Ovis aries: one gene and its partners. The protein of the gene in region 1 interacts with the protein of each later gene in a pairwise test. Links are inferred from orthologs where the notes say so. Each region holds a gene or a part of one and is shown on either strand. Other genes may lie near its edges.

Evidence for each region.
Region 2: the proteins of SGTA (region 1) and PTN interact in a two-hybrid assay, tested with the Homo sapiens proteins (2 studies listed by BioGRID and IntAct). The link is inferred for Ovis aries from reciprocal best matches to the Homo sapiens genes SGTA and PTN.
Region 3: the proteins of SGTA (region 1) and TFRC interact in binary tests that used the Homo sapiens proteins (3 or more experiments, as listed by UniProt). The two-hybrid records come from large-scale screens. The link is inferred for Ovis aries from reciprocal best matches to the Homo sapiens genes SGTA and TFRC.

The regions. Positions count from the first base shown.
Region 1 is NC_056058.1:18,712,597-18,715,337, reverse strand, and holds the end of SGTA (small glutamine-rich tetratricopeptide repeat-containing protein alpha), read right to left. Parts: intron 2,136-2,741; coding exon 2,046-2,135; intron 1,857-2,045; coding exon 1,742-1,856; 3' UTR 509-1,741; downstream 1-508. UniProt on the Homo sapiens protein: Co-chaperone that binds misfolded and hydrophobic patches-containing client proteins in the cytosol. Mediates their targeting to the endoplasmic reticulum but also regulates their sorting to the proteasome when targeting fails.
Region 2 is NC_056057.1:102,434,107-102,438,167, forward strand, and holds the start of PTN (pleiotrophin), read right to left. Parts: upstream 2,807-4,061; 5' UTR 2,619-2,806; intron 1-2,618.
Region 3 is NC_056054.1:191,631,589-191,635,674, forward strand, and holds the start of TFRC (transferrin receptor protein 1), read right to left. Parts: upstream 2,807-4,086; coding exon 2,641-2,806; intron 1-2,640. Other genes in the region: palmitoyltransferase ZDHHC19, read right to left, coding at 3,017-3,283. UniProt on the Homo sapiens protein: Cellular uptake of iron occurs via receptor-mediated endocytosis of ligand-occupied transferrin receptor into specialized endosomes. Endosomal acidification leads to iron release.

The DNA of each region.
Region 1 (2,741 bases):
TTCCCCCTGAACTTCCTTTGTGACCTACTGGCCACCATCCAAGTGGCAGGGAACATGGGGAGGTCCTCAGCAGGACAGAGCAGCTCAAGGTCACCAGAGGCTGAGTACACCCACTGGAAGCCACAGAGGTCACGGCCAAAGAAAGTGGTATGGCCCCAAAGCATTCCCACAGCCCAGCGACCCGGGGGAGTCGAGTGCAGGCCTGACACCCCCTGCACCTACACCACACGTCAGCCTCTGGACAGGGAGTGAGCCAGACCCATCCACACCTGGATTTAGCCCAAGGGGGTCCCCAGTCTGACTTCTGGCCTCCAGGATGGAGACACTGTGTGTAGTTAAAGGCCACCAAATTTGTGAGATTGTCTTCAAGGTGACAGGGAAGGCACACACAACCTGGGTCAATGGTTCAGGGTGACCCATGCAGGGTCCACACTGGGGGTTCCAGGAAGCTCTGGGAGGTGAGGGGGTGGGGGCAGAGTGGCACTGAGAGGTCCACATGGAGGCCAGCAGAGATCACGATGTCTATTTATTCCCCACACGTTATCTCGTCATCATGGTAGCACTCATGAGTTAGGACGCCTTGTGGGATGTGTGTGGGGCTGTCTCTACGAGTTACCTACACACACGGTACTGGTACGGTGTCACCTCCCACAGGACCCGACACCATCAGGGAGCCTCCAGCGATCTCATCACCAACACTGTGGCCCGAGCTGCGGTGCCAGGGACCCTCTCCACCCTGCCCTGGGCTGCAGGGACATCCACAGTGGCTGCCCGGTGATCTCAGGCCCAGGCAGGTGGTCATCAGGGACCCCCATAGCCCTGACCCCCAAGCAGGAGGAGAGCCCGCTGAGGATGCAGGCAAGCCAGGCCAGCAGGACCACCACCTGTGGACAGAAGGCAGTGGCTGGGATACACAGCCAGGCTGCGACAGGCTCAGGAGCCAGCTCAAAGGTCATGAGAAGGCCCCTCACAGTCTGTCAATTGTAAGCACTGGGAAAAGCATGGCGATCAGACCCGAGTCCATCCGAGCACTGGACTGGAATTTAAGTCCCAGAAATGGGTTGTGTGCACCCAAGACGTCTGCTTCGGCCCCCGCTGGGCGCAGAAACTGCCTCTGGGGCACTTGCAACTGGAGTTCCTTGTCTGAGAACCCAGGTCTGCTGGGCCGGGCTGGCTGGCAGTGAGCTCGCTTGAGCAGGGGTGGCCAGGGAGGCCACGGTCAACTCAGAAAGCGGCTTCTCGGGGGCTGGGAGGCCCTGCAGACAGACTGGGAAGGCAGGCGGGGGCTGAAGAAGGGGCTTCGGGGCCACGGCATCCCACAGGCCACTTCTCGGAGAGCGGTGAGAAGACCACCCCCACCTCAGAATGTTCTAGAAAATACTTTAGTGACCAGGTCTTCAGGGCAGGGGGCCAGGAGGGAGACGGGTGCTGGTCTGCACTCACAGCTTGCTGGCTCTGTTTCAAGAAGGATCTGGGGGCCGTGAGAGAGTATAAAAAGGGAGGGAGGGGAGGAAGTAAAAGTAAACATCATAAAAATCCGGCTTAACATGCAGGTCCAAGTTCTTTTTCTCTCGTGGGCGATCCAATGGGAGGAGACGGAAAAGGTCAAGAAGGCTTCCTGTAGGCCGGGAAGGACCCGATGGCGCTGGGCAGGCTGGAGGGAGAAACACCTGAGTGGGCCCACCCGGCAAGAGACCTGAGGGCCCAAGGTGCCCCCCAGCTCCGGGGACTCACGGGGCGGTCACTCCTGTTGGTCATCATTGCTGGCACTGGGAGTCCGACTCCTGATCTGACTGCGGAGCTGCTCTATCAACTCTGGGTTCTGTTGCTGCATCTGCTGAGCGAACTGCTGGCCCCTGCAGGTGGGGGCAGGGGAGGCGTGCCTGGGCTCAGCCAGGTCCAAGGCACCCACCCAGCCGCCTCTCCCTACCTGACGTGCCCCTGGAGGGCAGAGGGACCACTCCCTGGAGGATGAGGCCCCACAGAGCACCCGGGGACCTTGGACCCTGCCCCACCCAGGAGCCCCACCTGGCAGGTCTACTCACGCCTGGATGAGACTGGCCAGGTCATTCTGCGAGGGGCTGGTGCCGGGAGTCCCCAGGGGGTTGTGGCCGCCTGAAATCATGCCGGACATGCTGCAAAGAGAGTCCTGGACTTGAAGACGGCTCAGCCCCCTTTTCCCGCTGCGGCCCTGCTTGACCCTTCCCCCCTGCTGGCAAGAGACATTACCTGGGACCCAAGTCCCCCTGAGCCCACCCTTCTGACTGTAACCTGTCAATTTCACCAACTTTCCCAGGAACATCCATTTTTGACTTAAAAACAGTGATTCTCAGTGGGGCAGTGCTGCCCCCCAGGGACACCGGGGCATGCCAGTGACACATAAGACCGTAGAATTTCTGAGTCCACTGATGTGGAAACACCGTCAGGCCGATCCACAGACGGGTGACTGGTAGTCAGGAGCTGGGAGACAACGATATTGGGGGTGGGGCTTCATTTTGGGGTGATGGACGTTCTGGAATTAGATTGTAGTGACCAACTACAGGACATTATAAGCGTACTAAATGCCATGGGACTACGGACCTTAAAATGGCTAAAACAGGAAACTGTATACATCTTTTACCACAATAATTTTTAACCACAAGGTCCAAAGAAGAGAGGACTTCCCTAGTGGTCCAGTAGTTAAGAATTTGCCTTGCAATCCAGGATTTGTAGGTTCAATCCCTGCTGGGGAACTAAGATCC
Region 2 (4,061 bases), on another chromosome or scaffold:
GGCTCCACTCAGCATCCAACTAAGGGAACAAGGGCAACTGGAGGTGTCTGACTCACCAGACGCTTAAAGGTGAGCATCTCTTCACACAGGACTGACCTGCACTCAGCTTGCCCCGTGATCCCCCTGGGTGGTCTTGGTTTGGGCATTACCTTAGGAGGGAGTCAAGGACAGTTCCCCTTTTTACTATGTCATCATATTAAAAAGTGTATTTGGAGAACTGGAATTCATAATCAGAATTCAGACTACTGGCCCTGAATCCACTATTAACTCATATACCGTTTTGAACAAGCCAACCAAACTCAGTCTCCTCAGAAAATTTTGAATAGTAATAAAATACCACATGGCAAATAAGAATATGATCAGAATTCACGTGAGAATGTCATTTAAATATGAAAGCAAGAGTATATTCAAAAGGAAAAAATATTTAAACTCAAAATATTTGATCTCTAAGATTGACTTTATTGATAAAAGCAATTAAATTATTTAAGGACCTTATTTCTCTCAAGTTATTTCCAGTGATCAGATTCTGTGAAAATCCAAACCAGGCCACAAGGTTTTCTAGAGTAAAAACATCAAAAATGTTCATTTAAAAGTGCGGGTTCTGTGACATATTGCTATATGTGAAGATTAAGGTATACGTGGAAATTCTCAATAAATTAGTAAATTTATTATTCCCAATATCACGAAAAGAAGTCTAGAAGTCCACAGAATTGTGTTATAAATATAATACACTCTAAATATTTTTAAATGTTACTATTCTCATTCTATATAAGACCCCATTGAAAAGTCCGATAATAAAAAGTCACATATTATCTGAGTTTCTCTTCTTTCACAGCTCTAGCTTTGAAAATACAATACACTTGTACCAAAAAGCAAACAGCAGGAACACAGCAGCTAACGTGTTAAGTATGGCTTCAGGTGGGTGTTCCTTATAGCTTTTCACTAAATGAGAAAAAAATGTCCTAAAAGAGGCCTGGGAAGAGGAGAACAACTTCTACCAATTTAAAGTACAATTAGAGAATTCAAAGCACCAAAGTTTCTTAAAGCACAAAATAATTGTTTTTTTTTTAATGAAATAATTGTTTAAAAGCCATCCTCTAATTTAAATGAGAAAGTACAAATATTGCTCCTCTGAAATAACTCATGTCCCAAAGGAAGGAAAAACAAGAAAATATCCACTCTAATTGCCTTTGAATTTAACTGGACTATAAATTTTCTTATGATTTGGTCTTTAGAATGCCTAATTTATTTAAAAATAAAACCAGAAAGAAGATGGAAAATAGAAGCTTTATTTTCTATGCTGAGAGACACCTCTTTTGTCTCACTCCCATTACCTTCCAATATTTCAAATATCAGTTTATCCCCAGATGCTCAAGAGGCTAAAATGGACTTTACGGTTCCACCAACACCACATTTGCCTGAAATCATGAAATCGCTTCATTATGTGTTTAGTTTAAAAGCTTTCTTGATAGTTCCTGGACCTCCTCCCAGGCCCTTTCCTCCAACACACACACACACACACACACACACACACACACACACACACACATACCACCTCTCTCAAGCTGTTAGAGCAAAACGCCTAAATAACTCTCAAGATGAAAGACGCCAAATGCCAAAAAGACCGGAATTTAATTTTTCTCAAATCGTTCCTTCTCCCAGTCATTGCCACCCCTCCCCCCATGTGCCACTCCTAGTTTTTCAGTGTATCCCCCAAACTTATAAAGCAGCTGTTAACAGAGGGAGGGTGAGTTAACAAGAGTATAAGTAAACTCAGTGTTGTGTTGTGTTAAAGAAAAAAGGGTGCTTGCATGTGTGTGTGTTGAAGAGAGAGGAAGTTTTATGTATTAAGTAGGGAAGGGAAGTAGAATATATTCCTCTCTTTTAAAATATTTTAACTTATTAGACGCATCAACTCAAAAACTGAGAATCTAGCCAATTAGCAATCAATATACCCTAGCTTTACCTGGGGGAAATAAAAAGTTCAAGTGTCTCTGTACAGGGCAATTATTAAAATTATTCAAATGAGAAGTGGGATGCAAGGTGTGTCTTTTAAACTTCGGACAGAACCATTTCTAGAACCATTCCTGGGCTGGCAGGCAGGACAAGGAGTGCCCAGATGCTCTGTGAGGGATGCGCAAGGTAGCTGGCACTGGGAGGAACAAGCTCCCACTTGGTACCTAGAAATGCCAGCTCAAACGTATCAGCTGGCAAGCCCTGGGGCCATCCGGGAAGCTGAGGAAAGATGGGAAAATGAGCCTGCTTGCTCAGGCTGCCTTACTTTCTCTCTCTTCTCTACCCAGCCACAGACACACCTACTAGCTCAGGTTCTACAAAGGGCAAAGCCTCCGCACGTTCGCCATCCAGCTGGAAGCCAGGAACCCAGTCCACATGCACGTCCCATAACATTACAAAAGCTTACACTCTTCCCGGGGGTCGTGACTATCTGACCTGACTCCCCCAAAGTAAGCCTCTGGAGCGCATCAGTGTTGAAAGCAGCCCCACGAGCAGAGACACCAGCAGCCTCTCTCCCACTCTCACCAGTATCACGCGCTGGCGCCCAGAAAGGTGTCGATCCGAGACACCTCTGGAGGAATCGCGCATTCGCTTCGACTTACTTGGAGTCGCAAACGAGCGGTGCGCGCTCAGGCTGCCTTTGTTGATCCGGGAGAGGTTTTTCTGCCCTGAGTCCAGGTACCCAAGTCGCTGGTGCTCGCGGCGGCCGCTGCTCTCTGCGCCCGCACGCCCGGTGACTCCCTGCTCTCTTTCTTCTCCTCTCTCCACTTCGGCTTTTCCTCTGCTCTGCGGCCTTGGCGGGATTTTTGGACTGGAAGGCGGGGAACCCGATCCTGCCTCGGACTGGCGCACGCCCTGCCGGGGAGGGGACGGAAGGGAAATGGAGAATGGGAGGGATGTGAGGAGCGGGCAGGGAGAGGACGCGACTGGGGAGGGGGGAGCGCGCCGTTCCCTCGCGAGCTGATTGGGAAGCTGCTTCTTAAATGCGAGGTTCTCCCCCGGGCCGTCTCGGCCCCCACCCCCGGCGCCAGCACTCGAATTTGAACTCAAAGGCCGGGGGAATGAAAAACTTGTTTCGTTTTTAACAGGGACGGATGCAATATCCCTTTGCCAAACTTTGCGCAGGACCTTTTCTGCAGGTGGGTGCGAATCCCAGTTTACCAAGTAGCAGACCTGAAATGGACAGTTGAGGGTATCTTAGGTGACAGTTCGGGCCCCCGGCGATTTTTGTGATTGCTATTGAGGGTGAAAAACCACAGTCTTCAGAACCAAGCTCTGGTTTGTCCCCACCCCACCCCCAACGCCCTTCCCCCTCTCTCCCGAACAATCTCCCAAATCAATCACTCCAGCGGTCAGTCCCGTCCCACCTGCGCGTCACTAAATGTGCAAAGGACTTTTTGGCGCTTGTCACAAAGAGTGACAGATGTCTGAAAGTTCCCAATTAAATGCTACTTTCCTTTAGGGGGCTCTTTCTTTTTCTGGCTTCCTTGGTGCATTTAGTGACCTACTTAATGACATGTCTTTGACACTCAAGAATTTAGGGGCTTAATCCACGTGGCTCCAGCTCCGAGGTTTGTACAACTCAGAGGCTGGGCTTCCGTCTTTCTGGAATTTCCATTTTCTTCGAATGAGGACAGAAGTTAAGGTAATGTACCTAGGATTATTTGAGTAACACATAAATGAGTATTTGTGATATACATGAGAGCAACGTGTTGCGTGAAATGATTAAGTATAAACCAAATGTACCCAAGTACTGTCAAAAAGGAGATTCTCCTCTGCTCACCGGTTCTTTTCTGTTCTTTCTCTTGCTTCTTTTACTTCCTGTCCACTTATTATTTGATAGTGCCGACCCCAAACCTAGCTGCCAAATATTCCTCCCTTCCGTTTCCCATAGTTCTGAAGTAACTTCCTTTCAATTCAATTTAAGAGATAGCGACTAAGTACCTTATATAACTCTTAAAATTTACATAAATCAACCTAAACCCCCAAAAGCATTGTTTTGTGGGAAGTGGCTCTTAGGATCTTAGAGACTTTGATGGCTACAT
Region 3 (4,086 bases), on another chromosome or scaffold:
ATGCAGAGTACATCATGAGAAACGCTGGGCTGGATGAAGCACAAGCTAGAATTAAGATTGCCAAGTTTCCACTGCACCAACATTAAATTATCCACCTGACTTCTTTGCCTTTTAAATCTGGTCAATCCCAGACAGATCACTTAAGATTGTCAATAACCTCAGATATGCAGATGATACCACCCTTATGGCAGAAAGTGAAGAAGAACTAAAGAGCCTCTTGATGAAAGTGAAAGAGGAGAGTGAAAAAGTTGGCTTAAAACTCAACATTCAGAAAACTAAGATCATGGCATCTGGTCCCATCACTTCATGGCAAATAGGTGGGGAAACAGTGCAAACAGTGACATACTTTATTTGGGGGGGCTCAAAAATCACTGCAGATGGTGACTGCAGCTATGAAATTAAAAGATGCTTGCTCCTTGGAAGAAAAGTTATGACCAACCTAGATAGCATATTAAAAAGCAGAGACATTATTTTGCCAACAAAGTTCCGTCTAGTCAAAGCTATGGTTTTTCCAGCAGTCATGTATGGATTAGAGCTGGACTATAAAGAAAGCTGAGTGCCAAAGAAGTGATGCTTTTTAACTGTGGTGTTGGAGAAGACTCTTGAGAGTCCCTTGGACTGCAAGGAGATCCAACCAGTCCATCCTAAAGGAAATCAGTCCTGAATATTCATTGGAAAGACTGATGCTGAAGCTGAAACTCCAATACTTTGGCCACCTGATGCAAAGAACTGACTCACTGGAAAAGACCCTGATGCTGGGAAAGACTGAAGGTAGGAGGAGAAGGGTACAACAGAGGGTGAGATGGTTGGATGGCATCACTGACTCAATGGACATGAGTTTGAGTAAACTCCAGGAGTTGGTGATGGACAGAGATGCCTGGTGTGCTGCAGTCCATGGGGTCATAAAGAGTCAGACATGACTGGGCAACTGAACTGAACTGAACTGAATGAGGATAATGGTGACCTCCTTTAAAAGGTCCCATGCATGCACTGCGGCACTGAGTGCCCCCAACCTTGCAGCAGGCCACCGTTGACCCACGCCTCTGCCAGAGGCTCCTGGACACTCACAGGCAAGTCTGGCTCAGTCTCTTGTGGGGTCACTGCTCCTTTCTCCTGGGTCCTGGTCTGCACAAGGTTTTGTCTGTGTCCTCCAAGAGTCTGTTTCCCCAGTCCTGTGTAAGTTCTGGCGACTCTATGCTGGGGTTAATGGAAACCTCCTCCAAGAGGGTTTATGCCATACCCAGGTCTACTGCACCCAGAGCCCCTGCCCTTGCGGCAGGCCACTGCTGACCCGTACCTCGGCAGAAGACACTCAAACACAGTTCTGGCTCAGCCTCTGTGAGGTCTCTGGGTCCTGGTGCACACAAGGTTTGTTTGAGCCCTCCAAGTTTCTCTGGCGAGTATTGGGTTTGATTCTAAAAGTGATTTTGCCCCTCCTACCATCTTGCTGGGGCTTCTCCTTTGCCCTTGGACATGGGTTATCTTTTTTTGGTGGGATCCAACATTCTCCTGTCCTGCCTCATTTATAATCACCAAAATCCAAAAACAATGCAGATATCCTTCAACTGGCAAAAAAAGAGTAAAGAAGCTGTGACACACCTGTTTGATGAGATACTACTGAAGCAAAGAGAGGGAAACTCCTGATACGGGAAACAACCTGGATGAATCTCAAATGGATTACATTGAGTGAATGAAACCAGACTCAGAAGGCCATGATTATATTTATATGAAATTCTGAAAAAGGAGAAACTGTTGGGCTAGAAAACAATTCTGTATTTGCCAGGGGCTGCAAGTTGGGAGAGAAATGGACTACAAAAGTCCATGAGGGAATTTGGGGAGTGAGGGGAGGGTGGATGGAGCTAGTCTAAATCTTGGTTATGGCAGTGATTACAGAACTGTATGTTTGTCAAAACTCATACAACTGTGCACTAAAAAGGGTGAACTTTACTGTGTGTAAAGAAAAAAGTCCTATCAAGGTTTCCAAGTTTCCACTGCACCAAGATTAAATTATCCACCTGACTTCTTTGCCTTGTAAATCTGGTCAGTCCCAGGCAGATCACTTGACTGCTCATGCCACACCTGCGGCGATCAGCAGTGTTCCCTCACCCGCCTACCAGCATTCCACAGACTTTCAGGCTTCCGTGCTTTTTTTGCACTCTTTGCCCCTCACAGCAATGCCTCGCCTTCTGCCGTCCAAACCCGCTAAGTGGCACGTCCTACTCAACACCGCGGTCCTCACTGAACTCTCAGTGCTCTGAGTTTGTGCTACACAATGTCGGGAGGCCCCTCTCTCAGCGCGTTCGCTGGTGTCTGATGAGTTACTCTGATTTCCGTTTCCTTGTCAGCACACTCTCAGGATGCAGCCTCACTCTCCTCCACGCCCATGGCTCAAAATAATGCGCACGGGGCCTAGCCCTCACTAGTGCACCTTCGACGCAAGAAGAGTGACTGCCGAGCTCCGGAAGGAGGTGAGATCTGAGCTTGAATCTGCGTCTGGAAGGGCTCAAGAGGCACCTTCGAGAGAGCTCAGGCCATCAAAGACCAGGGCGAAGGAGAAAGCGGAAGGTGCGGAAGCCCGGAGGGGTAAGGTGACCACCCACAGCCCGATACCATCATGGCGCCCCGCTCGTCCCCACGTACCTTGCCCTCGTAGGACCGCTCCGCCGCGCTCACCGACATGACTTGGATCAGCAGCAACAGGAAGAGGGGCACCAGGAAGCCGGCGGCGGGTACAGCAACCAAGATGCTGCACAGCAGCTAAGGAGCAGCGCCTCCGGGCAGACCTCCTTGGCCCCGGCCCTAGCATAACCCCGCCCACACGTAGCCCCGCCCACCAGCTCCCTGCCCACCCTGCTGCCTAGGGCCCGTGCCACCTCTAGCATTCTCCATCCTTGACTCTGCCAGCTCACCCCTTCACAGTTCCTCCTATCCCCACCCATCTCTCTGACCCTATCTGTCCTCACCTCGTCTCAGATCAGTCCTGTCAGGCGGCTTCACCGTCTAACCCTGCTCACCATTAACTCTGCCCCCCCCGGTGACCCCGCCCCTCTGTTGACAGCTCCTCGCCACCCTCACTGTTTGGTCGTGGGTCCCCACACCCCAGCGGATACGCGATGGCCTTGTCCATGGAGAAGGATAGGTGGGTCGTACGCACCAGGAAGATCAGGCAGGTGACCAGCATGGCACCCGAGTAGAGGCATAAGGACAGGACAAGCAGCATGAAGAAGCGGAAGTTGCGGTGACCGATGCAGTTATTGACCCACTTGCAGTGGTGGTCAAAGTCCTAGGCAAGAGGGAGAAGGCTCAGGCCTTGACCCAATCTCTGATCCAGGCTCCATCGCCCCCAAATCTTATGCACTCCCTCTAAACCACCTGCCCTTGACCTCATGAAGTGGCTCCCATTCCTAGGGAAAATCTAAGTCTCAAAGTCCTTAACCCTGCTGGCATTCCCCTGTTAGAGCACCGCAGGGCTCACAGAGCTACACGTCTTGTCAAGAGGCTTTGGAGACAGGACCTGCCTGGTCTTCTCTGGGACAAATCCTGGTGTAACTTCAGACAGGACATAGAATATCTCTGGGCATCTGTTTCCTCATCCACTGGGTGGGCCTAATAATAACACGATTGCCCAGCCAGTCTCCCAGGGTTGCAAGGACCAGTTAAGACAGCACATTGCTGAACTGTTGCAGACTGTGCACTCAGAACCCAGGAGACCAGGAGACCCTCTGTTCTAGACATTCAGAAGAGGCAGGATGTTCCCCTGGCTGGTCCTGCAGCCTGCCAAGGGCATTTGGACATCCAGTGCCATTGAGCCTGGGAAGAATAGCAGTGTCTGACCAGGCCCAGCATAGATGTGGATGCCCCTCTACAATGTTAGCACCAGTGCAGAAAGGGGCCAGTCTCCCGGAAAAGGTGCAGGCACAGAGGCAGTGACCTGCCTGAGTGATCAAGAGTGGCTGGGAATTACTGCCACCTTTGGTCTTTAACAGTCCCAGAAGTCATTTCACGCCCACCACTGGCCCCCATGTAAGTAGGCTTCCTGGTCCCAGACAGGTGCCGGGAGAGTAGGTGGGCAGGAGATAGGGGCAC